Callithrix jacchus: one gene and its partners. The protein of the gene in region 1 interacts with the protein of each later gene in a pairwise test. Links are inferred from orthologs where the notes say so. Each region holds a gene or a part of one and is shown in the gene's direction. Other genes may lie near its edges. The genes, in order: HNRNPUL1, DZIP3, WWP2, PRPF40A, HNRNPF, PRMT2 and SF3B4.

Evidence for each region.
Region 2: the proteins of HNRNPUL1 (region 1) and DZIP3 interact in binary tests that used the Homo sapiens proteins (3 or more experiments, as listed by UniProt). The link is inferred for Callithrix jacchus from reciprocal best matches to the Homo sapiens genes HNRNPUL1 and DZIP3.
Region 3: the proteins of HNRNPUL1 (region 1) and WWP2 interact in binary tests that used the Homo sapiens proteins (3 or more experiments, as listed by UniProt). The link is inferred for Callithrix jacchus from reciprocal best matches to the Homo sapiens genes HNRNPUL1 and WWP2.
Region 4: the proteins of HNRNPUL1 (region 1) and PRPF40A interact in a two-hybrid assay, tested with the Homo sapiens proteins (2 studies listed by BioGRID and IntAct). The link is inferred for Callithrix jacchus from reciprocal best matches to the Homo sapiens genes HNRNPUL1 and PRPF40A.
Region 5: the proteins of HNRNPUL1 (region 1) and HNRNPF interact in a two-hybrid assay, tested with the Homo sapiens proteins (3 studies listed by BioGRID and IntAct). The link is inferred for Callithrix jacchus from reciprocal best matches to the Homo sapiens genes HNRNPUL1 and HNRNPF.
Region 6: the proteins of HNRNPUL1 (region 1) and PRMT2 interact in a two-hybrid assay, tested with the Homo sapiens proteins (2 studies listed by BioGRID and IntAct). The link is inferred for Callithrix jacchus from reciprocal best matches to the Homo sapiens genes HNRNPUL1 and PRMT2.
Region 7: the proteins of HNRNPUL1 (region 1) and SF3B4 interact in binary tests that used the Homo sapiens proteins (3 or more experiments, as listed by UniProt). The link is inferred for Callithrix jacchus from reciprocal best matches to the Homo sapiens genes HNRNPUL1 and SF3B4.

What each region holds. Positions count from the first base shown.
Region 1 is NC_133523.1:36,547,234-36,551,451, forward strand, and holds the start of HNRNPUL1 (heterogeneous nuclear ribonucleoprotein U-like protein 1), read left to right. Parts: upstream 1-1,418; 5' UTR 1,419-1,500; coding exon 1,501-1,795; intron 1,796-4,218.
Region 2 is NC_133516.1:99,759,451-99,762,612, forward strand, and holds the end of DZIP3 (E3 ubiquitin-protein ligase DZIP3), read left to right. Parts: intron 1-942; coding exon 943-1,053; 3' UTR 1,054-2,662; downstream 2,663-3,162. UniProt on the Homo sapiens protein: E3 Ubiquitin ligase proteins mediate ubiquitination and subsequent proteasomal degradation of target proteins.
Region 3 is NC_133521.1:27,519,610-27,523,109, forward strand, and holds part of WWP2 (NEDD4-like E3 ubiquitin-protein ligase WWP2), read left to right. Parts: intron 1-615; coding exon 616-736; intron 737-1,184; coding exon 1,185-1,289; intron 1,290-2,770; coding exon 2,771-2,867; intron 2,868-3,084; coding exon 3,085-3,157; intron 3,158-3,327; coding exon of another isoform or gene 3,328-3,385; coding exon 3,386-3,485; 3' UTR 3,486-3,500. UniProt on the Homo sapiens protein: E3 ubiquitin-protein ligase which accepts ubiquitin from an E2 ubiquitin-conjugating enzyme in the form of a thioester and then directly transfers the ubiquitin to targeted substrates.
Region 4 is NC_133507.1:77,403,625-77,407,124, forward strand, and holds part of PRPF40A (pre-mRNA-processing factor 40 homolog A), read left to right. Parts: intron 1-472; coding exon 473-581; intron 582-1,460; coding exon 1,461-1,525; intron 1,526-1,878; coding exon 1,879-2,043; intron 2,044-3,099; coding exon 3,100-3,208; intron 3,209-3,500.
Region 5 is NC_133513.1:36,094,541-36,098,624, reverse strand, and holds the start of HNRNPF (heterogeneous nuclear ribonucleoprotein F), read left to right. Parts: upstream 1-1,284; 5' UTR 1,285-1,338; intron 1,339-1,678; 5' UTR 1,679-1,742; intron 1,743-2,632; exon of another isoform or gene 2,633-4,084.
Region 6 is NC_133522.1:52,206,645-52,210,661, forward strand, and holds the start of PRMT2 (protein arginine N-methyltransferase 2), read left to right. Parts: upstream 1-1,217; 5' UTR 1,218-1,385; intron 1,386-1,458; exon of another isoform or gene 1,459-1,967; intron 1,968-2,343; exon of another isoform or gene 2,344-2,433; intron 2,434-3,131; exon of another isoform or gene 3,132-3,235; intron 3,236-3,589; 5' UTR 3,590-3,648; coding exon 3,649-3,687; intron 3,688-4,017. UniProt on the Homo sapiens protein: Arginine methyltransferase that methylates the guanidino nitrogens of arginyl residues in proteins such as STAT3, FBL, histone H4. Acts as a coactivator (with NCOA2) of the androgen receptor (AR)-mediated transactivation.
Region 7 is NC_133519.1:9,859,729-9,863,820, reverse strand, and holds the start of SF3B4 (splicing factor 3B subunit 4), read left to right. Parts: upstream 1-1,292; 5' UTR 1,293-1,336; coding exon 1,337-1,370; intron 1,371-1,802; coding exon 1,803-1,931; intron 1,932-2,171; coding exon 2,172-2,714; intron 2,715-3,045; coding exon 3,046-3,252; intron 3,253-4,092. UniProt on the Homo sapiens protein: Component of the 17S U2 SnRNP complex of the spliceosome, a large ribonucleoprotein complex that removes introns from transcribed pre-mRNAs.

The sequences.
Region 1 (4,218 bases):
GTGAGCCGAGATCGCGCCCCTGTACTCCAGCCTGGGCAACAAGAGCCAGACTCCATCTCAAAAAAAAGAAAGAAAGAAAGAAAGAGGAAAAAAAGAACTGGATGCGTCTGATGTGACGCATGCCTGTTTGTTTATCTCTGCGGGGTGTGCCTTTGTCTAAGTAGAGATGGTGTGTGGCTTCTGCGGGCTTAACGTGTGGCTCGGGAGGGAGTAGGAGTCTGCATCGTGTACCCCGATTGCGTCTTACTCGAGTTTTGCTTTCTGAGTTAGAGGCGACAGGTGGTGCGGCGTTAGGCACTGGGAAGCTCTCTGGCGTTTGTATTCATGAGCGCGAGCCTTAATGACTGATCCGCGGGTTTGAGCTTGTAGGTACAGACGCCAGATAGCCCGATTTACGAGAACAGCCGATTAGAGGATTCGGGAGAGCGGTCGGTGAACTTCTGGAGGTCTTTCGGGAGGGGAAGGCTCTATGGTAGCGTGCAGAGCGCCCGTTCCACGTCAGGTACCCACCATAGAGGAAGGCAGCTGCGGACTACCCAAGGGAAGGGCAACTTGCCTCCCGTTGTTAGTCTGGCCTCTACCCCCAAACCTTCGGGATTTCCTGAAGTCAAAATTTTGCTTTTTCTAAAAACGACTGGGTTTCTTTCAGATTACGAACTGTATATTCACTTAATCTCTATTCCATATACCTCCTACTACAGCGAAATTTGTGAGACAATCCTCTAAAGCACGGCCAATCTGGTGAACTTTTCCTAAAACGAGCCATCTCTGCCAGCTTTAGGAGCTAAGACAATAACTACGATTGGTGGGCAGATTGTTTTGAAACCGCCCTAACGGCAAGGGGCAGGCCCTCGGTGAATTCATCTGTTTCCGGTTTCTTAAAGGCAACAGGAAGGAGGGGTTTCTGCCGACACTCCGTTTCATTGGTTCTTGTGGTTTTACCCGCTCGGACTCCTCAAGGGGCGGGAGATGTAGACCAATCGGAATGTGTGTTACAGAGACACTTAGTTTGATGAAAGGACTACGCAGAAAGGCCGTGGGGCACTCATTCTGAGATCTCACCGCCGATTGGACCAAACTGTTACTCCCTTGTTTTCATTGGGCCTTACGGCAGGAGGCGCGGGAGAGCTATCCAATCAGCGCGCGCCCCGCCTCCTGCCTTTTCCCGCCCTCCGCTCCGGCCTCGGCCTCGACGTAGGCCAACGCTTCCTTCCCGGTAGCTCTTGGGCCTTCTCGTTGCCGTTTTTTGAAAACCGCGTTCTGATTGGCTGGGTCTCATGGCCGGCGCCCGTTGCCCCAAGCACTGACCAATTGGCACTCGTGTTACATCGGACGAGGCACGGGTGAGGGGGGAGAGGGCGGCGGCGGCCATTTTGAGCCGCCGCCGCCATTGGAGTGGGCCCCCCCCTTCCCCCTTCGCCTTCTGACAGGAAAGGTTTAAGGGGGACATAGCCCTGGGGGGCCGGGCCGGGCTCGGGGGCCACCCCGGGGGCCCGGGCCATGGATGTGCGCCGTCTGAAGGTGAACGAACTTCGCGAGGAGCTGCAGCGCCGCGGCCTGGACACTCGAGGCCTCAAGGCCGAGCTTGCTGAGCGGCTGCAGGCGGCGTTGGAGGCCGAGGAGCCTGACGACGAGCGGGAGCTCGAGGCCGACGACGAACCGGGGCGACCTGGGCACATCAACGAGGAGGTCGAGACCGAGGGGGGCTCCGAGCTGGAGGGGACCGCGCAGCCACCGCCGCCCGGGCTGCAGCCGCACGCGGAGCCCGGCGGCTACTCGGGGCCGGACGGACATTGTGAGAGTGCGCGGGGCGGGGGCCGGGGAGCCCGGAGCCTGGGCCGAGGAAAGGGCTGTGGGACGCGGGAGTCCAGCGCCTGAGGTCGGGGAGAAGACTAGAGGATCGGGGGATCCCGCCACCCGCCGCTGAAAAGGATCTGGGGACAAGGGCCCCGGCGCGACCGGAGGGTGGATCCTGACACTCGGTGCAGGGGGGACACTGGGGGAGGGGCTCTGGGTTTCGGAGATTAGAGGCCGGGGTGGCGGGGAGGATTCCGTACCGTGGGGCTCGGATCGGAGACCGGAAACTTGGTTTCTGGGGCCGGAGAGACTCGGAAGAACAAGACGTTTTCCATTTGGGCTAGTGAGGGTCTCGAAAATGGGGATCCTGGGGTTCGGAGCTCGGAGGGCTCGGCGGCCGTGCTCGCCCAGCGTGTGGGCTGGGGGGCGGGGAGCCGTGTTTCCAGGGTGGGGAGAGAATGTCCAGGTGTGCGGGGCTGGGAGAGTTTTGAAGAAGGAGGATCCTGGAGTATGCCGCTGGATGCGATCCTGGGAGTTCTCCCGTTTGCTACGGGGGTGGGTGGGTGAGGTGGAGGCGCTGGTGTCTGTGGCTGGGGAGGATCGAAGGAACTCAGTGCTCTGGAGGTTGGCTGGTGAGCATTTAGGGGGATGCGGGAGCTTGAACCAGAGGGCACCGCATCTCTCTTCCGCGGTTGGAAGGCCACCCTTGAGGCAGGCACAGCTTGGACATGTGGTGCTTTGAGATCTGGGGACTTTCTGGTTGGCCGCTAGAAGAGGTCCAGAGGCTGGCGGGGGAGAGGATGCTTCCCTGGACAAAAGATCCGGGGGTCTAGAGCTAGGAAGACTGAGGACAGATAACTCCGAGGCTGCTGCTGAATGGCCTGGGGCTGACTGTGGGCTTTCCGCGAACAGGGGGTAGCTGGGGGTGGGAGGGGTGGGGGCAGATGAGTTGGTAACATTCGAAGTGGATGAAGTATGTGGCGGGAGACAGGATCCTGTATCCAGCACTGAAGGAGTATGGAGCTGGTTGGGCGTATGAGGAGGGGCAGGCTGTAGGGAGCAAAGAGAAAGGAGACCTGTTGACTTCACTGGAGGCCCCAGAGTGGAGTGCGCAGAGTGTTTCTGGACCCGAGCATCTCCAAGAGAAATCTCGTTGGTTGCCAGAAGCAGTTTTTTATGTACCCAGGGAGTGGGGACCCTCAGGGAGCAGCAGGGAACCTCTGCATCAGCCAGGAAGTGGGACTCTGGGAATGAGTTCAGGTAGATCTGTGGTTGTCTGAGGAGAGGAAACCCTGGTATGGGACGGAGTGAATCTTCAGTTAGAGAAAAGCAGCTTGGTTGAGCGCAGTGGCTCACGCCTGTAATCCCAGCACTTTGGGAGGCCGAGGCAGGCAGATCACGAAGTCAAGAGATCCAGACCATCCTGGTCAACATGGTGAAACCCCATCTCTACTAAAAATGCAAAAATTAGCTGGGCGTGGTAGCGCCAGCCTCTCATCTCAGCTGTTTGGAAGGCTGAGGCAGGAGAATCGCTTGAACCCAGAAGGTGAAGGTTGCAGTGAGCCGACATCGCGCCACTACCCTCCAGCCTGGTGACAGAGCAAGGCTCTGTCCCCCCAAAAAAAGAAAAAAGCAGCTTTCTTTCTTTTCCCCTTCCCCTTCCCGTTTTTCTCCCTCCCTCCCTCCCTCCCTCCCTTCCTTCCTTCCTTCCTTCCTTCCTTTTTCGAGTTGGGGGTTCGCCAAACACCCAGGCTGGTCATGAACTCCTGGGTTCAAGTGATCTGGCCGCCTCGGCCTCCTGAGGTGCTGGGATTACAGGTGTGAACCACTGTGCCAGGCCTCCGGGCAGCTTTCTAGTAGGACTGGGAAATGTGCCTACTGGAGAGGTTAAGCAGTAAGTAGAAGGGATTCTGGCATAGAGTTTGTAGAGTTTTTCTGAAAAGAGGGCATCCTGGGACTTGGGGCTAAGGGAATGAGAAGAAAAATGAGATAACAGAAGAGACAGGAGTTGGGATTGGCATTGGATACTTGTTCATAAGAGGTAAGGTTTCCTGGAGGGAGATAACCCAAGTGTGGATTTGGGATAGACAGTGGCTTAGGAATTATTCAGAATCCAGGTGCTGGAAAGGGGACTTCCCATTGCAGAGACTTGTGAAGAAAGGAGTGGCCCTGTGTGCATGTCTAAAGCAGGAGGGACTGGCAGGAATGCCTAGCAAGAAAGGGTAGTGCAGTAGTAGTGACCTGGAGGTCTGGCCAGAGAGTCCTGTCTGAGAGGAGAGTGAATTAGGTGCTTTGGAGTGTAGTCCCTAGACTCAAACAGACTTTGTTTCAAATCTGGCTTAACAATATTGTCAAGTCACTTCATCTCTGTGAGCCTGGTTTCCTTGTGGGTAAAATGGAGTTAATAAATACTGTCTTTTC
Region 2 (3,162 bases), on another chromosome or scaffold:
GCAGATATGTAATTTGACACAGGAAAAGATAATCATACAAAAGAAAGGTTTTTCAGGGAAGTGAACAATAGCCAATTCAGTCAACCCATGTTTTTAAGACATCATTTCAAAGATATGATATGTGGTACCTGGTACAGACTTATACTTTGCATTTGCTTTGATATGAAGAGAGATCCACAAAATGCCTAATCCCAAAAGTTCTCCAGGAAAGATCCTTAGCTGTTGACTTTCCCCTTTGAAGTTTATAAGGTCCTATAATTTGGAAAATATATGTTCAACAAAACTTATCTTATTCTTTGCCATTGCCCATGAGTAGAAAGCACATAATTCATTTATGTTATTTTTTATGGCTATAGTTAGTGGGCCTATTATATATAGTGCTTAATATTAATCCTCTCTCATCTGACCCACCCCTCCATTATTTATATAGGGAAAAATGATTTGTTTTTGGAGAGTCAGTATTCAAGCAAATGACTTAACCGATAGTTCATGGTCAAAAATTACTATCATTATCACCGAAGAAAACAATCTGAGAAGTATATTTGTCATTTAGGGATTTTAACTGCAAACACCATAAGCATTTCATACCAAGTACTAGAGACTTTCACAGATTAGTTATGACTTTTTCTGGATTATAAATGAGAACAGTATATAATAAACCAAAGAAAGAATATAGCAAGTTTCTCTAATTTCTTTGTCAGGAGGAATTGCTAGTCATCTTGAAAATGGGGGTTGGAGAAATAATTTCTAATAGAATAAACTGGCTAAAAGATATTGTGCATTCACCACCTATTTTGCTCAGCAAACCATAGGAAGTGCCATGTTTGCAGCAATTGTCTTGACAAGCCATAGGGTAAGGCTTTAAAGATCCACCCAAAGAAGTGACAACTGCCTTTGCTAGGCTAAATTTAAGAGACTGACATAAATCTTTTTGCTCCTTAGTGCATTAGACCATGGTTGATGCAACAGGGGACATGTCCAACCTGCAGACTCCACGTTTTGCTACCAGAAGAATTCCCTGGTCACCCTAGCCGGCAGTTGCCCAAGATCTGATATAAGGTGGGGGGTGCCTATGCAGGGGAAGCTCAGTTTTCAGACTCCAAAATTTAGATCTGCCTTTTATTATGAGCTGCTTGTGTAAGTGGTGTAAAGCTGTGTGCTCTTCAATACAGTGCTAAAGAAGCCAGCTAATCTTATCAAAACAGCAGCCAAAGAAGTCAGGACAAATCTTCGTGACTTGTGAACTGAACTGAAGGGGCTTGAAGCAGATGGAATTGTAATAGTTACACTATATTTGCTCTTATCTTAGTAGGTTTTTTTTTGTAATGGAAACATGATAACTGTTAGTATATTTCTTAGGATGTTTTGATGTTTTTTCTTGTCTTTTTAAAATTCTTATTTCACTCATCCTTTACTCTCCCCTCAAGTATTCTACACTATAATTTTCTGAAATAAATTTAAGCAAGAGGAAAAGGGAAATAGTAAGGAAGTAGGAAAATCACACAGAAATTCGTATTCCTTCTAACTTTTTTTTTTTTTTTGAGACAGAGTTTTGCTCTTGTTGCCCAGGCTGGAGTGCAATGGCGGGATCTTGGCTCACTGCAACCTCCACCTCCCAGGTTCAAGCAGTTCTCTCGTCTCAGCCTCCCAGGTAGCTGGGATTACAGGTGCATGCCACCATGCCCTATATTTTTAGTAGAGACAGGGCTTCATCATATTGTTCATGCTGGTCTTGAATTTCTGACCTCAGGTGATCCACCCGCCTCAGCCTCCCAAAGTGCTGGGATTACAGGCATGAGCCACTGTGCCCAGCACCTCCTAACTTTTAAAACCTTCTTAAAAATATAATTGACTTAAGTTTTATCTCAATATTCCCCATTCTTTTATATCCTCTTACATAGGCACCCACGAAGAGATTATGAGCTACTTGAAGGTAGAGGGCATACAGTGGTGTGTCAGAGCTGGCTTATAATGGTTTGTGAGTAGCAATCATTCATTTGAGGAGTTTTGTGAGACAGTTGTCAAATTGTTGGTAGCTTGAAATCTGCCACAGTTGGAGGATTTATACCGTAGAAATTGGTAAATGCTCTAAGTGAAGACCCACCTTTCCCTCAAGAGCTAGTTGTGAAACCTTTACCAGCACACCAGTAGACCTTGTCTAAAACTTCTTTGTGTTCCCAGTGCCTTGCCCAGTAGCTACAGGATAAATTTTACCAGAATCAGAAATCAGGAAGTGGTAAGAAAAGGAGTTAATATGCAAACTAAATTATTCACTCAATTGAATAATTGAGATCTTCTGTTCCTTGGACTTTAATCATTTGCATTTTGGAGAAATTTTTTTTCTGCTTTAAAAGTCTGTAATTTCACTTTCTTATGTCAGAAGAGGAGAAAACTATTTGTCCGTAGTTGCTTTTTGTGACAAAGTTAATACACACTAAGATAAGTTACATATCTAAAGCTTGTCACTAAGAATTTTCATTTTTAGGGGTAAAAAATCTATTTTGAAAATAGTGTTGTGTGAATTGTGTAAGTGTTGTACATGTCTCTGGTTTCAGAATTAAAAGAATTCAGAGTTACCATGTGAGATCAATGTCCTTTGGTTTGTATTCACAGTTTCATTTAATTTATGAGGAAGAATAAATATTTCCTGACTCAAAAGCAATTTTACCTGTATATTTCAATCCAAATATATTTTGAAAGTACTTTAAATCTCTATTCAAAACATCTGCTTCTGTAATTGTATGTTAAACATATTCTTCTGTAATGAGAATAGACTGGAACATGTAAGGGAAAAATATCAGAAAATGATGGCAGTCATCTAGAGATTTAAAATACCAAGAATGTCTTAGAATTGCAGAATTTAGAATTTATAGAGCCCCACCTTGTCTAGCACCTTGTATTAGTCCGTTTTCATGCTGCTGATAAAAACGTCCTTGAGACTGGGCAATTTACAAAAGAGATTTGATGGACTTAACAGTTCCACATGACTGGGAAGGCCTCACAATCATGGTGGAAGGCAAAGAGGAGCAAGTCACATCTTCATGGATGGCAGCAGACAAGGAAAGAGAGCGTGTGCAGGGAAGCTTCCATTTTTAAAACCATCAGATCAGACCAGGTGCAGTGGCTCATCCCTGTAATCCCAGCACTTTGGGAGGCTGAGGC
Region 3 (3,500 bases), on another chromosome or scaffold:
GGCAGGAAACCTAGCGGGTTGCAGAGAAAGATGGGCCGCCACCTGTGGCCTATGGGTCACTGTGGATCCAGGACCCTGCCATTTGCATCTGCCTCAATGGTGGCTACTAGCAGCCAGTCACATGATGGCACGAGCTGGGGGAGCCAGAGCTGAGGTCCTTAGTTACTAGCTCCAAGCTACACTTTTTCGCCACGTGAAAGATTTCAAGCCTGCTGGGTAGAATTTCTTTGAAGTCACAACAAGCTGAACTGTCTGCATGTTTCTCCAGGCAGAAAGGATCTCCGTGGCTTGTGTGCCTAGACCCACTGTCTCCTGTGTCCCCGTTCTCCATGCCTGTTCCTCAGGTCTCTCGGTTTAGGCTTTTTATCTCCATGCTTCCATACGTCTGAGGTTCAGTCGGTGCTGGGGGCAGGAGCAGGAGGAGGTGGTGGTGAGGATGGTTTCAAAAACTCAGGTGTCTGCAGGTCACTGTGAGGTCCTCAGGGCCGCACTCTGGGGCCTCCAGCAGGCTCGGTCTGGGTGTGCGAAGTCAGTTTTGCTAATCCAGTGGTCCTGTGTAGGTCCAGGCCACGTGGCCTGTCTCAGGCTCCACTCATGGCTGGTCTTTGGTCTCAGGCTGCTGACCGACTGGCGTTTCACCCGAGGTGTGGAAGAGCAGACCAAAGCCTTCCTGGATGGCTTTAATGAGGTGGCCCCACTGGAGTGGCTGCGCTACTTTGATGAGAAAGAGCTGGAGGTAAGTGTCTGAGGTTGCTGGGACCCCGAGCCCCTGCTTCTGGGGCGATCCTGCTATGTGATACGCTCACTGTGTACCCACAGACACTCACCAATAAAACTCCCACTTCGACAGGGCAGATGGGTTTGATTTGGCATCTCAGTACCCATCCTTTTCTAGACACTTGTTTCAAGAAAGGAGAAACTTCTGGAGGCTGAGGCAGGAGAATCTCTTGAACCTGAGAGACGGAGGTTACAGTGAGCCGAGATCACACCACTGCACTCCAGCATGGTGACAGAGCGAGACTCTATCTCAAAAAGAAAAAAGAAAAAGGGACTTACATTACCCATATGATTAACGCTGACACCAAAAACAGCTAGTTGAAGACGTTTGGGGCAGTGTCAAATGCTGGCCAGTGGCCGATGAGTAGGGATGGACCACTAAGGATGCTGATTCCTCCTCTCCCCAGCTGATGCTGTGTGGCATGCAGGAGATAGACATGAGCGACTGGCAGAAGAACACCATCTACCGGCACTACACCAAGAACAGCAAGCAGATCCAGTGGTTCTGGCAGGTGGGTCTCGGGGCCCAGGTTTTGGCAGGGACATTTGGGCCATTGGCCAAAGGAAATGGGTCCTGAGGAAACCTCATGCGCAAGGACCTTCAGCTTTGACTCGGTCCTCACCTCCCATAACTTGCAAAGGGAGACGATACACCTGCTTTGGGATGAACGGGGGCAGTTCTAGTGGAGTGGTGGCCAGCACGTGTGACAGGATGTTGTCAGTGGTGGACCAGCGCGTGTGACAGGAGGTTGTCAGTGGTGGACCGGTGCATGTGACAGGAGGTTGTCAGCCTTGGACCAGCTGGTGTGCAGGGACAGACCTGCAGGCAGATGGCACCTGTCACTGGCTGAGAGGTCCCCTGCCAGCCAGATGGGACAGGAAGGCAGGGGTTTGGCTCCAGAAAACAGAAAGAGCTGTCATCCTACGTATAATTAATGTGTTGATTCCTTAGTGTGCATGGGTTTTGTTGTTGTTATGAAGTATAGCATATAAAAAACCATAACTATTACAGATATTCTTAGTATATGTCTGTATGCATATGTATATATACGAACTTTTTGTAGAGGTGGAATTTGTATAACATACAATTAACTATTACATTTTTTTTTTTCAATAGAGACAGGGTCTTGCTATGTTGCCCAGCCTGGTGCTGAACTCCTGGGCTCAAGCTGTCCTCCCATCAGCCTCCCAAAGTGCTGAGATTACAGGCGTGAGCCACTGTGCCCAACCCATTTAAGTTTTTAAAATACACAATTCATAATAAAGTAAATTTGGTACCAGGAAGGGGTACTGCTATACATATACCCAAAAATGTAGAAGTGACTTTGGAAAAAAAAAAAGATACACAATTCAGTGGCTTCCCACCCAGGCTGAGGTGGGCAGATCACTTGAGATCAGGAGTTTAAGACCAGCTTGGCCAACATAGTAAAACCTCCTTTCTACTAAAAGTACAAAAAAATTAGCTGGGCATGGTGGCAGGTACCCGTAATCCCAGCTCCTCAGTAGGCTGATGCATGAGAACCACTTAAATCTGGGAGGCGGAGGCTACAGTGAACTGAGATTGCGCCGCTGCACTCCAGCCTGTGCAACAGAGTAGTGGCTTCCAGTACATTCACAGTGTTGTGCAACTGTCACCACTGTCTAATTCCAGAACACTTAGTCTCCCCAGAAAGCAGCCTTCTACCCATTAAGCAGCCACTCCCATCTTGAGTCTATTCCTAAAAAGCAGAACTTGGGTGGGAAGAGAATATCCAACCGGAGGCGTCCCTGAGACCCAGGGATGTCCCATGGACGGTGGGAATCTTCTGCAAACACATCCTCTTAGCAAAAGCCCTTCCGGAGTTTCTCAGGTTGGAGGCTGTCACCCCCTGCCCAACCTTGCTTTGTGTTCTCAGCCCCAAAGAGGGGCCCCGCTGACCTGGAGAGCTCCTCATTAGGGTGAAGTGCTGGGCGCAGGGGCCGCCTGACTGTGCCTTGACTTGCGGAGTTGCAGGTGGTGAAGGAGATGGACAATGAGAAGAGGATTCGGCTGCTGCAGTTTGTTACTGGGACCTGCCGCCTGCCCGTTGGGGGATTTGCTGAACTCATCGGTACGTGTTCCCTTGCCCTCTGGTGCCCTGGCTGGCAGTGAGCACACCTCAGAGGGAGGAGAGACCTGGTGTCTTCCTGGTAGCAGGTTGGCGGGATGGGGAAGAGCTGTGGCCTCTGTGTCCTAGAGCCAAGCCTGTCTGTGGGTGGAGCTGGAGGGTCCCGCTTTGGGACGGGGCGTCTCTGTTGACATCCGATGTGTTCTGCCTTGGATCACAGGTAGCAATGGACCACAGAAGTTTTGCATTGACAAGGTTGGCAAGGAAACCTGGCTGCCCAGAAGCCACACCTGGTGAGCCTGCTGGTATTACTGGGAGATCAGAGAGCCTCAGACTTGATGAGCTCCTGGGGCAGCCCAGTGGGTGTAGTGTTTGCATGCCCCTGGGGTACTGGGTTGGAGAGATGGGACTGTGATGGGCATCTGATCTACCATGTTTTACATGTGCAACACTTCTGTTCCAGTAGTCCAGGAGCTTCTGGCCTCCCGGGGCTGACTGTCCCGCCTCCCTCCTCTCTTTAGCTTCAACCGTCTAGATCTCCCACCCTACAAGAGCTATGAACAGCTGAGAGAGAAGCTGCTGTATGCCATTGAGGAGACCGAGGGCTTTGGACAGGAGTGACCAAGGCTGCCCCTC
Region 4 (3,500 bases), on another chromosome or scaffold:
GCACAGTCAGCCATAAACAGTGTAAAACAAATGAACATGGGCATGTTCGTGTACAACTATAATTACAAAAATTAATAGGCTGAATTTGTCTAGTGGATCATAGTTTGTCAACACTGATTTAGATCCTTAAATTTTATTTATATTCACACTTGCCCAAATGCTTAGAGTTACTATAGCACTAATATGAAACCAGTAAATAAGTTTAATAAGCCATTTAAAACTATTATGCTATTGGTCAGAGGAGCTAATGTTTTAGGTCAGTTAAGCGTTTATTTTGTCATTTGTACAGGGTCTTAAAAAGTGATTTAATAACTGAAGTTTTAAGAAACTGTATTTTTAGGGTTCATATAGCTTTTATTCTAAATGTCAAATTTAGCTCAACATCAAACATTCAAACAATTTAGGCATTATTTTTATAAATGAAGCAAAAATTTATTTAATTCAAAAATACCACATTTAAATTTCTCTCTAGTTTTACTCCCAAAAAAGAAGAGGAGGAGAGCCAACCAGCAAAGAAAACATATACTTGGAATACAAAGGAGGAGGCAAAGCAAGCTTTTAAAGAATTATTGAAAGAAAAGGTATTAATATTGCAGATTTTTGTTGTTTCTTAGCTTTTTGACATCAAGCATTATAGATTTTTAGGTGACACATAATAATTACTTGGTAAATGAGGTTACTCTTTAATTAGCACGTTGATGGTATTGATAATTCCAATCTCATGAACTGTTGTAACCAAATATCAACTAAATAAGTCTTGTTTTTTTTTTTGAAGAACTCTTTTGTGAAACTGACTTTCAACACAAAAACTATTGTGCACAAGGTACTTCACAAGCACATTTCTATCCAATATTTAATTTAAGGCTTTTTAATTCATAATAATTATTTATCTTTTATCAGTAGTTTAAGAAAAAGGCATTTATGATCTTTAAATTTCAGTATAAAGTTTTCATTTTAGTTCATAGGTGTATTACACAGATTTGCCTTCAATAAAAAACACATTTTTTTTTTTGTTTTTTGTTTTTTGGGTTTTTTTTTGAGACGGAATCTCACTCCGTCACCAAGCTAGAGTGCAGTGGCGTGATCTCTGCTCACTGCAACCTCTGCCTCCCGGGTTCAAGCACTTCTTCTGCCTCAGCCTCCCGAGTAGCTGGGATTACAGGCATCCACCACCTTGCGCAGCTAGTTTTTGTGTTCTTAGTAGAGACAGGGTTTCACTATCCTGACCAGGATGGTCTCGATCTCTCTACCTCATGATCTACCTGCCATGGCCTCCCGAAGTATTAGAATTACAGGTGTGAGCCACCACTCCAGGCCAATAAAATACTATTTTTTAAAACTTGTTTCAAACTCCTGCAAAGGGAAGAGCTTAATGTTTACAGTGAGTACTGTACTTGGTTCCCTATTATGTGACTTTATTCTTGTGTGACATTTTAATTTGTCATTTAAATGATTTTCAGCGGGTACCATCGAATGCTTCATGGGAGCAAGCTATGAAAATGATTATAAATGATCCACGATACAGGTAGTACTTCAATTTTTTATTTACTTTTCACTTTGACCATAGCAAGTGTAGCACATTTAAAAGTTGTATAGAAAGATACAACATTTAACTCCATTGACTTCTGTTGTTTAGGATACCTAGTACAGAGTTGTTTTATGTCTAATATAAATCGAGAAGTCAAAGGCTCATCAAACAATTCGAGTACCCTGCTGTATATAAAACAAGAATTATTTTAAAAGTAGAAATTACTTCCTTGTCTTTAATAAATTTTTGAAATTTTCTTAATTTATATGTGAAAACAATTTTACTATTTTTTCAAACCACTATTTCATTATTTTGCCTGTGTTTACTCTTACATGATATTTTTCTATTAGTGCTTTGGCAAAGTTAAGTGAAAAAAAGCAAGCCTTTAATGCCTATAAAGTCCAGACAGAGAAAGAAGAAAAAGAAGAAGCAAGATCAAAGTACAAAGAGGCTAAAGAGTCCTTTCAGCGTTTTCTTGAAAATCATGAGAAAATGACTTCCACAACGAGATACAAGTAAGATGTTCAGTGTTCCATGGCCTGTATTTACTACATTGTTGTTTGTGTCATCTTTTTTGCCATGTGCAGTAGCTGATCCAGAGCTTATTAAATAAAGCTAGATGTCAATGAATGTAGAAGTTTCATGAGGTACAAAATAAATCTGTAGTTAAATATACAATTTAACTTACAGACTTACTAAGTGTTTTAGAGACTGAAAGAAGGGGAGAAAGACTGCATTTAATAATCAAGTTTGAGGCCAGATGTAGTGGCTCACACCTATAATTCCTACAGTTTGGGAGGCCGCAGCAGGCAGGTGGCTTGAGCCCAGAAGTTCAAGACCAGCCTTGGCAACATGGGAAAACCTGTCTCTAGAAAAAAAAAAAAAAAATACGAAAATTAGCTAATCATGGTGGCACATGCCTGTAGTCCCAGCTCCTTGGGAGGCTGAGGTGGGAGAATCACTTGAACCCAGAAATGTCAAGGCTGCAGTGAGCCATAATTGCACCATTGCACTCCAGGGTGACAGTGAGACCCTGTCCCCCCCTAAAGAAAAAAGGAAAAGAAAAATTTGATTGCCGTTTAATTAAAAACATTGAAATTATTGTTATTTGTGGGGAAAAAAGAGGCTATTTTCATTCAGTAGGTATAGCATTTTTAATAAACTGTTTTATATAGCATTCTTCATTTTAGGTTGCTTTATTATGTAAAATTGTGGGTAATTTAATATTAAAATTTTTTTCATATGTTATTAAACCTATTTTCCATGTGTACCTCTTTGTTTTCCTCCGTATTCTAGAGAAGTCTGTAATTTAGTTCTGAAGGCATTTTGGTAGTCCGTGTGGCTGCCCCTAGAATAAGACGTAGTCTAGACCATAAACGTTGCCCAATGTGAATTATCCCCTCTATCTCTAAGGAGAGATGGAGGCATGTGCTTTTTTCTGTGTGTGTGTGTGTGAGAGATTATCCAGGAGTTTGCCTTTAATACGTTTATGAGCTTAGAAAGTGTTCATTTTGTAGTTTTAAAATTGGTTAAAATTAATTTTTGTTGTATAATATCTTTTTAACAAATAGAAAAGCAGAGCAAATGTTTGGAGAGATGGAAGTTTGGAATGCAATATCAGAACGTGATCGTCTTGAAATCTATGAAGATGTTTTGTTCTTTCTTTCAAAAAAGGAAAAGGTATTATTCTTAGTTTTGGTATTTACAGATAACAAAAGATGTTTTCTCATTCTGATGAGAAGTGGTTTTATAACTTGTACATTTTTATGGCTTAGTTTATCTAGTTTATTTGGTATAGCAGATTTATTTATTTATTGGAAGTAATCTTTACAGAGGAATGTATAGCTTCTATAATAATAAGCTTCTTTTCCATTCATCTACCATATAAAGTACTACTGATGTAGAGTCAGTGAGTACTCATTCAGCTATTTGTATTGTCATTAATTGGCTGTCTTATGCTAACTTTGGAAAA
Region 5 (4,084 bases), on another chromosome or scaffold:
ACCATGCCCAGCTAATTTTTGTATTTTTTAGTAGAGACAGGGTTTTACCATGTTGGCCAGGATGGTCTCAATCTCGTGATCTGCCTGCTTCAGTCTCCCAAAGTGCTGGGATTACAGGCGTGAGCCACCGCGCCCGGCCTGTTTTATTTTTATTATTTATTTATTTTTATTTTTGAGACAGAGTTTCGCTCTTGTTACCCAGGCTGGAGTGCAATGGCGCCATCTCGGCTCACCACAACCTCGGCCTCCTCGGTTCAGGCAATTCTCCTGCCTCAGCCTCCTGAGTAGCTGGGATTACAGGTATGCGCCACCATGCCCAGCTAATTTTTTGTATTTTTAGTAGAGACGGGGTTTCACCATGTTGACCAGGATGGTCTCGATCTCTTGCCCTCGTGATCCACCCGCCTCGGCCTCCCAAAGTGCTGGGATTACAGGCTTGAGCCACCGCACCCGGCTTTTTTTTTTTTTTGAGACGGAGTCTCACTCGGTTGCCAGGTTGGAGTGCAGTAGCGCAATCTCGCCTCACTGCAACCTCCACCTTTTGGGTTCAAGCGATTCACCTGCCTCAGACTCCCGAGTAGCTGGGACTACAGGCGCGCGCCATTACGCCGTCCTTTTTTTTTGTATTTTAGTAGAGACGGGGTTTCACCATGTTGGCCAGGCTGGCCTGGATCTCCTGACCTCGTGATCCGCCCCCCTCCGCCTCCCAAAGTGCTGGGATTACAGGAGTGAGGCACTGCGCCCTGCCCTCAGTGTATTTTTTTCCTTAAAAAATTTTTTTTGAGACAGCGTCTCGCTCTGACGCCCAGGCTGGAGGCAGTGGAGCACTCAGGGCTAAACTGCATCCTTGACTTCCCGGGCTCAAGTGATTCTCCCGCCTCAGCCTCCCAAATTACTGGGACCACAGGCATGCACCACCACGCCCGGGAATCGGCTCTCATTTCCTTCTTTCAGCCCAGTCTTCAAATCAGGCGTCCTTTCGGCGCACATTTCAGAGTCCTGCGAGTCTCACCACTGTCGTTCCTCCAGGGAGTCAGCGGAAGTAAGAGGGATCTTTCCCGCCGCTCCACTCCCTCTTCCTCCTCCCGTCCCCTCCCCTCCCCTGTCTTCTCCAGAAACGTCCGGGCTCAAGAGTCTCCGCGGCCTCCCCTGCCCCCACCCCAGTGTCGGCTCCGCCCTGCGGCCTGCCGCCCAATCGACGGCTCCCCGCTGGGCGCGTCACAATAGCGTCGTCGCGGCCCCGCCCCCGGAAGCCATACGCAAAGGCTCCACCCTGCCGCGGTCCTTGCGTCTTTCCGGTCCGTCGTGGAAGGAGGCCTGCGCCGCGTCTTCCTTAAGGTGAGGTTCTTGGGGCACCGAATTGCGGTCACGCCGGCAGGTAGCAGCGGGGTGGGGACGCGGGCTCTTTGGGTTTCTGTTTCCAGGTGTCCAGGGCGAAGGGCCGAGCCGGGGAGTAGGGCCTAGCCGGCGCCTGGCACGCCGGGAGCAGGAGGGCTTCCGGCAAAGCCGCGTGCACTCGACAGGCAGGCCCTGAGGACTGGGACCGGTCGCGTTCCTGCCCCCGCCTCTGTTAGGCCCCGCCCCGTGCTCGCAGCCGGGGGTTTCCATGGTGATGGTCAACAAGCCTCAACTGCCACAGCTACAACTGCCAAGTTCCCCGCTTTTCACCCTCCGCTAGGTGCTCCGAGGGACGACCAGGGTTCCTGATGTGAGAGCGGGAACGTAGAGACTCGGAGGCCGAGGTGAGGGGCGGCCACCCGGGACCGAGCGGGGACCGAGTACTCTGGGGGTGGAGACCGTGGGGCTGGGATTTGAGATTCGGGAGATCACTCGAGGTCCGGGGCCGCGTACCCGCACCCTGGCGATTGGGCCTAGTGGGGTGGGGATTGTGGGGCTGGGCCTGAGATTTGGGATTAGGGAAGCGAGATCCGAGTTCAAGCGCCGCACATCTGGGGCCGAGGGAGGATTGCACATACTGAGGGGCTGAGATTTGGGTTGACGGGATTCGAGGTCGAGGCGCCGGTACATGGGACCGGCGAGGACTGGCTCCACTGGGGTCGGGAGGCGCAGCGTCGTAGGTAGAGAGCCGTACGCCCAGACACTGGTCCCACGGGGTGAGCACCGCGGCCTGAGATTTTGGAGTCGGGTGGCTGGGAAGACATGGCCGGCCGGGTGCGTTATAGCCGGGCCTCCTGGTGGAGCGCTGGCGACCGTCGGAGGGCTCTGAAAGTGAGAACAGGCTTGGCGCGGCGGGAGGCCCAGGCGGGAAGATGTCTTGAGCCCAGGAGTTCCCGACCAACCTGGTCAAGATAGTTAAACTCCGTCTCTGCTAAAAATTAAAAGAAAAATTTACGCGTGGTGGCGCGCGCCTGTTGTCCCAGCTACTCGGGAGGCTAAGGCGGGAGGGTCGCTTGCGCCGGAGAGGTCGAGACTGCAGTGACCAGTGATAGTGCCGCGGCATTCCAGCCTGGCTGACGGGAGTGAGACCTAGTCTCAAGAGTAGTAATACCTGAGTAAAATGAAAGCCGTGCGCTCACGTGGCCGCAGGCGCCGGAGTTGCAATAGACTCTGGCAGGAAGCTGGCTCCGCCCTCCTCCCACGCCCGGTTCCCTCAGCCCTCACTCTCCGCCCTGGGCTCTTTTTCCTCCTCGGCAGCGCCGCGTGTTCTCGGAGCGCAGTCTCTGGGTTAGTCTCCAGTTCCTAGAGGTATGGTGTTTGTATTTGGGGTGGAAATCTTCGACTCATACCTGCTCTTCGGCTTAGTTGTCCTTTTTTTTTTTTTTGCTAGTTTGAAGTATTTTCGTCGATTCCGCCCTGCTTCTAGAAAACTTGTGGACCGGGCCTAGGTCGCGCTGCGCTGGCGCCCCGCTCTCCCGACCTCGGAGTCGTGGACTAGAGTTCTGAGGAGCGGGGCGCCAGACTCGCCCTACCAGCCAGACCGCCCTGGTCGCGGGAACCCCTCCCCCCAGGCGCCAGGGACCTCCGCTCGGCGCCGCGTGGGTCCCAGCGGGAGGGCGGAAGGAGAGCCGGACTCGGCCGTCGCCCGCGGGGCGCCCTTCGCTGCGGCTTTTCGGTCTCCTAGCGACCCGGGGACGAACTAAAATGGCTGTTAAGTTCTTGAAACTGCTCTTGGGCACCGGGGGCTCGGACCGGCCAGCTGCGTGGCGGGACAGGAGGCGCGCGCTGGCGGCTGCGCGCGAAGGGCAACGGGCGGCGGCGGCTTCCCGGAACCGCGCGGGGCGGGCTCTGTGCCGGGGTCAGGGCCGCAGCCTCAGGCAGCAGGGAGTTCTGAAAGCGTAGTCTTTGTAGTCGTTCTGTTCCACAAGTCATCTTAATTCTTCCAAAAATATGCATGTATAATTCTACTTACATTTTAAAAAGTTGAGTGTGTATTTGTCTCTTAATTCCTAGTAAGATGAAAATTTCTTGGGTTTTCCAGGTAGGCGAAAGATGCCATAAGTGCGAGCCCTGAAAAGTGACCTCTGCTTGCTCTTCTAGACAGAATTTCTAAATCATAAAATAAGACATTGTTACTTTTGATGAACATTAAGAGAGTGCTTTATTCCTAAGCAAGAAGATTTTTTGCCTTGTAGATATTACGTTCCTCATGCATCCTTTAGATCATTAGCGTCATTATAGGCCGGGCGCTGTGGCTCCCGCTTGTAGTCCCAGCAGTTAAGGAGGCCGAGTAGGATCGCTTGGGCCCACGAGTTGGAGACCAGCCTGGGCCGCAGACACTGACCCTGTCTCTATAAAAAAAAAATTTTTTTTTTAGTTACATTTTGAGACAGGTCTCGCTTTTTTGCCCAGACTGGAGTGCAGTGGTGTGCTCTCAGCTCGCTGCCGAGATCCTCCTGTGCTCAAGTGATCCTCCCACCTGAGCTGCCAGAGTATCTGGGACCACAGGCAGTCGCCAGCACACCCTGCTAATTTTTGTATTTTTGGTAGAGGTGGTGTCTTATGTTGATTTTAAAACTTTTGTGTTCAAGGGATTCTTCTTCGCTACCAAAGTGTTGGGATTATAGGCATGTGAAAAAAATTGTATTTACATGTTACGGTTTATTTCTCTAATTTAACATCTTTT
Region 6 (4,017 bases), on another chromosome or scaffold:
TGAGGGCTAAGAGAGATGAAAAGGTTTATAATATTTAATAAAATAATAAATGAAAAATTCCCAAGTCTAGCAAGAAATTTAGATATCCAAATATAAGGGGCTCAATATTTTCCAAAGAAATAAAATGCATAAAGGACTTTGCCACGGGAGATGACAATCAGACTGTTTAAAGTCAAAGTGAAAGAGAAAATTCTGAAAACATAAATAGAAAAGTAAAGTGTCTTGTCACCTATAAAGGAAAGCCTACCCGACTAACAGCAGACTTCTCAGCAGAATCATTATAAGACAAAGTCCTGAAAGAAAAAAAGGGCAGCTAAGAATTTTATAGCCACCAAACTTAACTTTCATAAATGAGGAACAAATGTCTTTCCCAGATAAAGAAATGCTAAGGAAATCCATCACTACTTGACTGGTCCTACAAGAAATGCTTAAAAGAGTCCTAACTTGGAAGCAAAAGGATTACATTAACCATTATGAAAACACGCGAAAGTATAAAACTCATAGGTAAAGTAATTACACAAAGGAGGAAGAGAAAGGAATCAAGTGATACCACTATAGAATTCCACCAAACCACAGTTACAGAAAAATAAAAATAAAAAAGCAATAATAAAACAACTAGAAAACAACAATATGGCAAGGACAAAACTTCAGATATTAATATTAGCCTTGAATGTAAACTAATTAAATGCTCCACTTAGAAGATACAGTTTGGTGGATTGCTGTCTACCATCCTAGGAGCAGGGGGGAAAAAACCCTCATCTTTCCTGTTGGAAGTGAGCTCAAACTCCACAAAGGAGTTACCTGCCTTTTCTTGCCATGGAAGCAGGAAAAAACTTGCCTTCCTTGTGTTGGATGCAAGGACCCCTGTCCCCCTTCCCCCCCACACAAAAGGAGCTGTACAGCAAAATAAACTTTAGAGCTTGACCAAATCTGAGTAGATCAGGGATTCTCTGGAGGGATTGCTTCCATGCCTCAGCAAATTCTCCTATTTGTTTGAGCCATAAGGATAGCTCAAACTGGTACCAAAGACCGATAGGAGATTTGTCAAAGCCCTTTGGGGTTACCAAAATGTGAATAGTAGAATACCTCTACTCAGAAGCCCTTTGGGGTTACCAAAATGTGAATCTCAAATATCTGATACAGGTCTCGGTCCATTTAGGAAGTTTATTTTGCCAAAGTTAAGGATGCATGTCCATGAAACGGCCTCAAGAGGTCCTGAAGACATGTGCCCAAGGTGATCAGAGCACAGCTGGTTTTATACGTTTCAGGGAGACATGAGACATCAATCAAGATACGTACGATGAACATTGGTTTGGTCTGAAAGGTGGGACAACTCGAAGCAAAAGAGGGATAACTTGAAGCGGGAGGCGGCTTCCGGTTCACAGGTAAGTAAGGGACGTTTGCATTCCCGAGTTTCGGGTTGGCCTCTCCACGGGAGGTAATCAGCTATGCACTTACCTGAGCAGAAAGATGACGCTGAATAGAATGGGAGGCAGGTTTGCCCTAAGCGGTTCTCAGCTTGACTTCCCCCTTTGGCTTAATGATGTGGGAGCCCCAAGATTTATTTTCCTTCTACATTTTCTATCAGACCTACGGTCTGCCTTGATGCTAACGCCGGAGGAGTATAGTAAGGCTGTCCAACCCCTCCTTCTCCTCAAGGCCGGAACAGTCCCTCAGGTTGAATTTCAGGGTGTCCTGGTCAAGGAGGGAGTCCGGTCAGATGGCTGCAGGGGGCCCTTCGAATTTATGTCTGTTTTACAGGCATCAGTGCCGCCCATTTCTCATGAACCCCACACTTCCTCTCAGCAAAACAGAAACGTTATCATTCTGCTTCCATTTGTCCAGAAGAAAGGCAGAGGGCGCACACTGTGCAGCGCGGATGGGAAAGTTAATTGAATTATTTGAGAGAAAACAGGAAGACGTGCGCGGGCGCGTCCTCCACGGAAGCCTCAGCCATTTTGTGGCTCGTAGGGGTTCTGTTTCCCAGGCCGTGAAGTGCCCAGCTCCGCCCCCCGCCCTAGGTCGGACTCCTGCCCACGCCCTGCACCCCGGGTCGGACCCCAAGCCGAGAGACGCGGCTGGGCGGTTGGGGACAAGCTCTACACATGGGGGCGCTCGGCCTCGGGTTGGCACGACCGCAGAGGCGCAGACATGCAGTGCGCCTGCGTAGGACGCTGTCCTAGCTACAGATGGTCTGTGCGCAGTGCGCCTGCGCGAGCCGAGGGCGGTGGCCCGGCTTCCCAAGAGGGCGGGGCGTCTGGGGACGACGCCTGCGCGGGGGCGCCTGGCTGTGGGCTGGGCCTTCTCGGCTGACGGCCTGCGCGCACTGCGCTTGCGCGGGTTGAGGGCGGTGGCTCAGGCTCCTGGAAGGGACCATCCGCCCCTCGGCACTGGCAGTGTGAACGCGCAACTCAGCGGAGAAACGCGGCTGAGGTAGGTTTCCTGATGGGCAGCTCAGGCGGCTGGACTGCACGTAAGGCAAGACAGGCCAGGTGAGGCGTCCTCGCACTCCCTGTACGCCGCTGGCAGACTTAGGCCTCCGCCCCCCTTTGGGACCTCCGATCGCCCTCGCGTTGTGTGCTTCCTGTCCTGGCGTCCAAACGGGAGCTCGGCCCTCGCCACACCCTTCCCAGTGCGCCGCGCCCCCTCCCGGCCACGCCCACCACCCAGCGCCGGCTCCGGCCACACCCTCCGCGGTCACGCCCACCTCACCACCAGCCCTGCCACGCCCTTCGCGGTTACGCCCCACGGGCTAGGCGATCTCTGTCCTGAAGCTCTAGGCGCGCTCGCAGCCTGACCCTGTTGTGCTCCTGCGTCCACGCGCGGCCCCCTCGCTTCTTGCCCGCTTCTTGCCCCGTTCTCACCCGCCTTCATTGGCCACCTGTTCCCACTCCCCATGAGCCTGTTCCTCCCAAGGGCATCTTAGGTGGGCCCGGATCCTGCGCGCACCCCAGCACCCACTCCAACCCATCCCAATTTGGACGCCGGTTTTCCAATGAAAATATAATTCTGTAAATCAGTATTTGTAACTATGAACATCACAAAAATGAGCATCAAGTCTGAATTTAGAAGTGAAGCTTGCATTTTAAACAAAGAATTGCCATGCGATTGCAAAAGCACATTCGTCCCAGAGCGGAGTGTGGGTTACACTGTTACTGGAAAAATAAAAATTGAGAAGGAAAAGACCGGAAGATGCACACCTTCGTTCCTGTTAGTGGAAACACCAAAGTCCCAGGTAGGGACTTTCAATTGGAATTAAAGCTGTCACATTTCTAAGAAAAGAATGAATACTGATTTATATTGCTTTAAGTCGACATTTGATCTGACAGAAACTAACAGGCTTCAGCGAATGAGTAAGATTAACACCTTGTGGACTAGTGAAGAAAACACGCACTGTTTGAAGTTTATGATTTTTAAATGCTTTTGTCTTTGTGAAGAATTGTGATTATAATTTTCACTTCTATACCATTCTTCGCACATACACATTTTATTTCTATTTGGTAGAGGACCTTTGTCATGGACCTTAGAAGTTAAGTGAACTTAATTATTAACGTGGCAAGTACTTTGTGTCTCCTTCTCTTTTTAAAAGTAGAAATGGAGAAGAAAATGAAATAAAGCAGGAGTTATGAGGCAGAGCCCAAGAGAACTATGGCAACATCAGGTGACTGTCCCAGAAGTGAATCACAGGTAATTTCGGTTCCAGTTCCTAAAAATCTGTGTTTAATGAATGGGAACATTACAGAGAGTTAAGTGTCACCTCACAGATGTGATGGAACTTGACTTGTGCCTTGGAAGGTGGCCACACAGTAGAATGCTTAAATGTGAAGATTGTGAGGCAGAGGAGACGCGGTGTCTGTAGGATGACATCCTGCACTGGGCACCATCAACCCTTCCAAAGAAATAGCCCCAAAACAGCAGCATCATTTAGGCTTCCATTTTTGGTACGTGAACTGGCAAAGCAAGCATATTTTCTGAGCTGTTCAATAAAATTTCATGCGTAATACCAGCAATATATCG
Region 7 (4,092 bases), on another chromosome or scaffold:
TTTCCTTACAGTTTTCTGAGAATGAGGTGGATACAGGAAACACCCTGTCTCCTCTGTGTATTTTTGTAGTGGAATTGCTATTTAAGGGGTTCATTAAAGCATGGTATTTATACACATTGTTGGCATTGTTTCTTGTGTTTGAATAAAGGATTCTCCTAGGTAGCAAAGAGTGGTGGGTAAAAGGTGGGTGTGACCCAAGAGAGGAAGGCATCCACCATATTATTGATAAGGAAACAGAGGAACTGGGTCTAGTGAGGCGCTGCAGAATTAAAGTGCAGTTTGGGGAAAGGGTTAGATGGGGCACGAGCATGTCAGGATGTTGTCGCTACCGGGCGCGGTGGCTCACGCCTGTAATCCCAGCACTTTGGGAGGCCGAGGCAGGGGGATCGTGAGATCAAGAGCTCGAGACTATCCTGGCCAACATGATGAAACCCTGTCTCTACTAAAAATACAAAAATTAGCTGGGTGTGGTGGCACGCGCCTGTAGTCCCAGCTACTCGGGAGGCTGAGGCAGGAGAATTGCTTGAACCCAGGAGGCGGAGGTTGCAGCGAGCTGAGATCGTGCCACTGCACTCCAGCCTGGCGATGGAGCGAGACTGTCTCAAAAAAAAAAAAAAAAAAAAAATGTCTCTGGGGCCAGAGTGTTCTAGAAATCCATACTGAAGTCTCTGAGCCCATCCACCCATCAGCTGTGGTCAAACACCCTCGGAGCAGCCTGATTCCCACCACCCTTCCCCTCCCCATGTTATTACGACGAAGTGAGCGCAGACGTCACTCCAGCTCAGACATTCCGCAGTCTCCTCCCCTGAAGGAAAACCAATACCTCCAGCCCAAATCAGGGCTGTGAGGCCAAATCAGGGCTGTGAGGCCAAATCTGCAAGAAGGCTGCAGGCGAGATGGAAGCTTCCCTCTGCGCCTGAAAGCAGCCGAGTCCTCCGGCTGCGGGGACTCTTCAGCACGTTCTTCTCTGGGAAACAAAAGAAGAATCAGTGGCCACAAAATATAGCAAAAGTAAAGCCTTGTCCTTTCAGAGTTCGAATTTACATTTTTGGGAGCAGTGTGATTTTTTCAAGCTTAGCATTAAGAGGGTCTGAGCGTTTCCATTTCGCCCTCCTCGCTTAGACCACTAGCAACAGAACAACTGCGCGGGAGGCGAAGACTATACCGGTCGAGCCGGGTTAAAACAAGGAGGCTCCTAAGATGGCTGCGGCTGCTCCCAGGCACTTCCTCTTCTGCGGCCCCGCCCACCATACGTCAGCCTTCGCCCCGGAAGTGGAAGTCGGGCTGAGGTCAGAGAGCGGAACCGCTGCTGGGAGACGGCGGGAGCTCCTTCGCCATGGCTGCCGGGCCGATCTCCGAGCGGAACCAGGGTAACTGGAGGGGGAGAATCTGGAATGCGCTCAGCATGGCGAGGAGGTCCCGACTAGGGTCAGCAGTGCCTCTGCAGGGGTGGGAAGCTGAACTCCTCGGTTCCCCAGAGGGCGCGAAACCGGCCCCATGCCTGCTGGGGGCGGGGTGGCTGGGTGCTGGCTTAGGCCTGTTGGTGTGATACTTTTATGTCCAATCCCCTGCTGCCTTCCCACTCAAAAAAATCCACCCAGAATACTAAATTAGCCTTGAGAGGATTTCCTAAGTCTTGGGAAGAAAGAGGTTTAAGGGTTAAACGTATTTTTTTTTTTTTTTTTGCTCCTACCCTGCCCCGGTCCCCAGTTCCTCTGGTTGGGTTCCATCTTCATGTTTCCATCACCTCCTTTCCTGTTATACTCTCACCGTTGCCCTGACTTTCTGCTCCCTCCCTTCAGATGCCACTGTGTACGTCGGGGGCCTGGATGAGAAGGTTAGTGAACCGCTGCTGTGGGAACTGTTTCTCCAGGCTGGACCGGTAGTCAACACCCACATGCCAAAGGATAGAGTCACTGGCCAGCACCAAGGTGAGTACATGGCAAGGGGCAAATTGCTCCTGGAGGGTCCCAGCAGTATTCACAACTGTTTTGGAATGAGATGAGCAACCTAAAGATTTCTTTGTTTTAAGCCTCAGTTCAGTTTATTTCTGGAGCCATTCTCAAATAAAGTGAGGTTGTTTCTCATTCTTTGTGATCAGAGGGGAGGTGAGTTTTACCCCATTTTGAATCTCTTCACTTAGGTTGTTAACCTCCTCTCCACTTCTGCAGGCTATGGCTTTGTGGAATTCTTGAGTGAGGAAGATGCAGACTATGCCATTAAGATCATGAACATGATCAAACTCTATGGGAAGCCAATACGGGTGAACAAGGCATCAGCTCACAACAAAAACCTGGATGTAGGGGCCAACATTTTCATTGGCAACCTGGACCCTGAGATTGATGAGAAGTTGCTTTATGATACTTTCAGCGCCTTTGGGGTCATCTTACAAACCCCTAAGATTATGCGGGACCCTGACACAGGCAACTCCAAAGGTTATGCCTTTATTAATTTTGCTTCATTTGATGCTTCGGATGCAGCAATTGAAGCCATGAATGGGCAGTACCTCTGTAACCGCCCTATCACTGTATCTTACGCCTTCAAGAAGGACTCCAAGGGTGAGCGCCATGGCTCAGCAGCTGAACGACTTTTGGCAGCTCAGAACCCACTCTCCCAGGCTGACCGTCCTCATCAGCTGTTTGCAGATGCGCCTCCTCCACCCTCTGCCCCCAATCCTGTGGTATCATCACTGGGGTCTGGGCTTCCTCCACCAGGTAAGGCTTTTGGTTAAAATATGTTTGTCCTTAAGGTTGGAGGAGTGCAGCAGGGGAAGAAAAAAGAGTCTGAAAGAGGGACATTGAGTCAATGAGTGATGGGAAGAGTGATGGGAAGTCAGTGAGTGATGGGAAGTGGTGGAGGAGAATGTTGTTGGGTATCTTTGGGAGGCTGAAGTTATTTGACTATTCTAACATTGCTTTTGATTTTCCAGCACTGGGAGGAGGGGCAAAGAACTCGCCGTGGCTGGAGAGGCCAAATATGGTCAGCTCTTTGAAGACATTTTCTCCCCACTACCATTAACTCTTCCTTCTTCCATTTCCTCTACAGGCATGCCTCCTCCTGGCTCCTTCCCACCCCCAGTGCCGCCTCCTGGAGCCCTCCCACCTGGGATACCTCCAGCCATGCCCCCACCACCTATGCCGCCTGGGGCTGCAGGACACGGCCCCCCGTCGGCAGGAACCCCAGGGGCAGGACATCCTGGTCATGGACACTCACATCCTCATCCATTCCCACCAGGTGGGATGCCCCATCCAGGTAGGTGTGCTTTGTTGGGAAAGGGAGGGAAGAGCTTGGTAGAGCATCTCTGTCACCACTCACCCTGCTGCCCTTTGTTCAACAGTAACAGTTTAAGAGTTTTCCTTTTCTTCAGACATTCTCTTATAAAAAAACATACAAAATACACTCTAACAGCTACCAGTCTGAAATGATTTCTTAAGTTTTTCTGATGAGCAGACTATGCTTGCTGTTTTTTGTTTCTTTACCTTTTAGTTCCATTCTCTCCTCTAACTCCACCTCAAAGTGGTGACCTAATTGCCAAATCTCAGGGACAGTTCTCCTTATCTGGTTTGACCTCTGATGTACTTGAAACGTGTCTTCCTATTTGAAATTCCTGTCTCGGCTGGGCATGGTGGCTTCTGCCTGTAATCCCTGCATTTTGGGAGGCTAAGCTGGGTGGATCACCTGAGGTCAGCAGTTTGAGACCAGTCTGGCCAACATGATGAAACCCCATCTGTACTAAAATACAAAAGATTAGGTGGGCATGGTAACTTGCTCCTGTAATCCCAGCTACTCGGGAGGCTGAGGCAGGAGAATCCCTTGAACCTGGGCAGCGGAGGTTGCAGTGAACTGAGATTGTGCCACTGCACTCCAGCCTGGTCAAGAAGAGCAAAAACTCCGTCTCGAAAGAAAAAAGGAAAACAAATTCTTGGCTGGGCACGGTGGCTCATGCCTGTAATCCCAGCACTTTGGGAGGCTGAGGCGGGCAGATCACCTGAGGTTGGGAGTTCAAGGCCAGCCTGACCAACATGGAGAAACACCGTCTCTACTAAAAATACAAAAAATTAGCCAGATACGGTGGCACATGCCTGTAAGCTC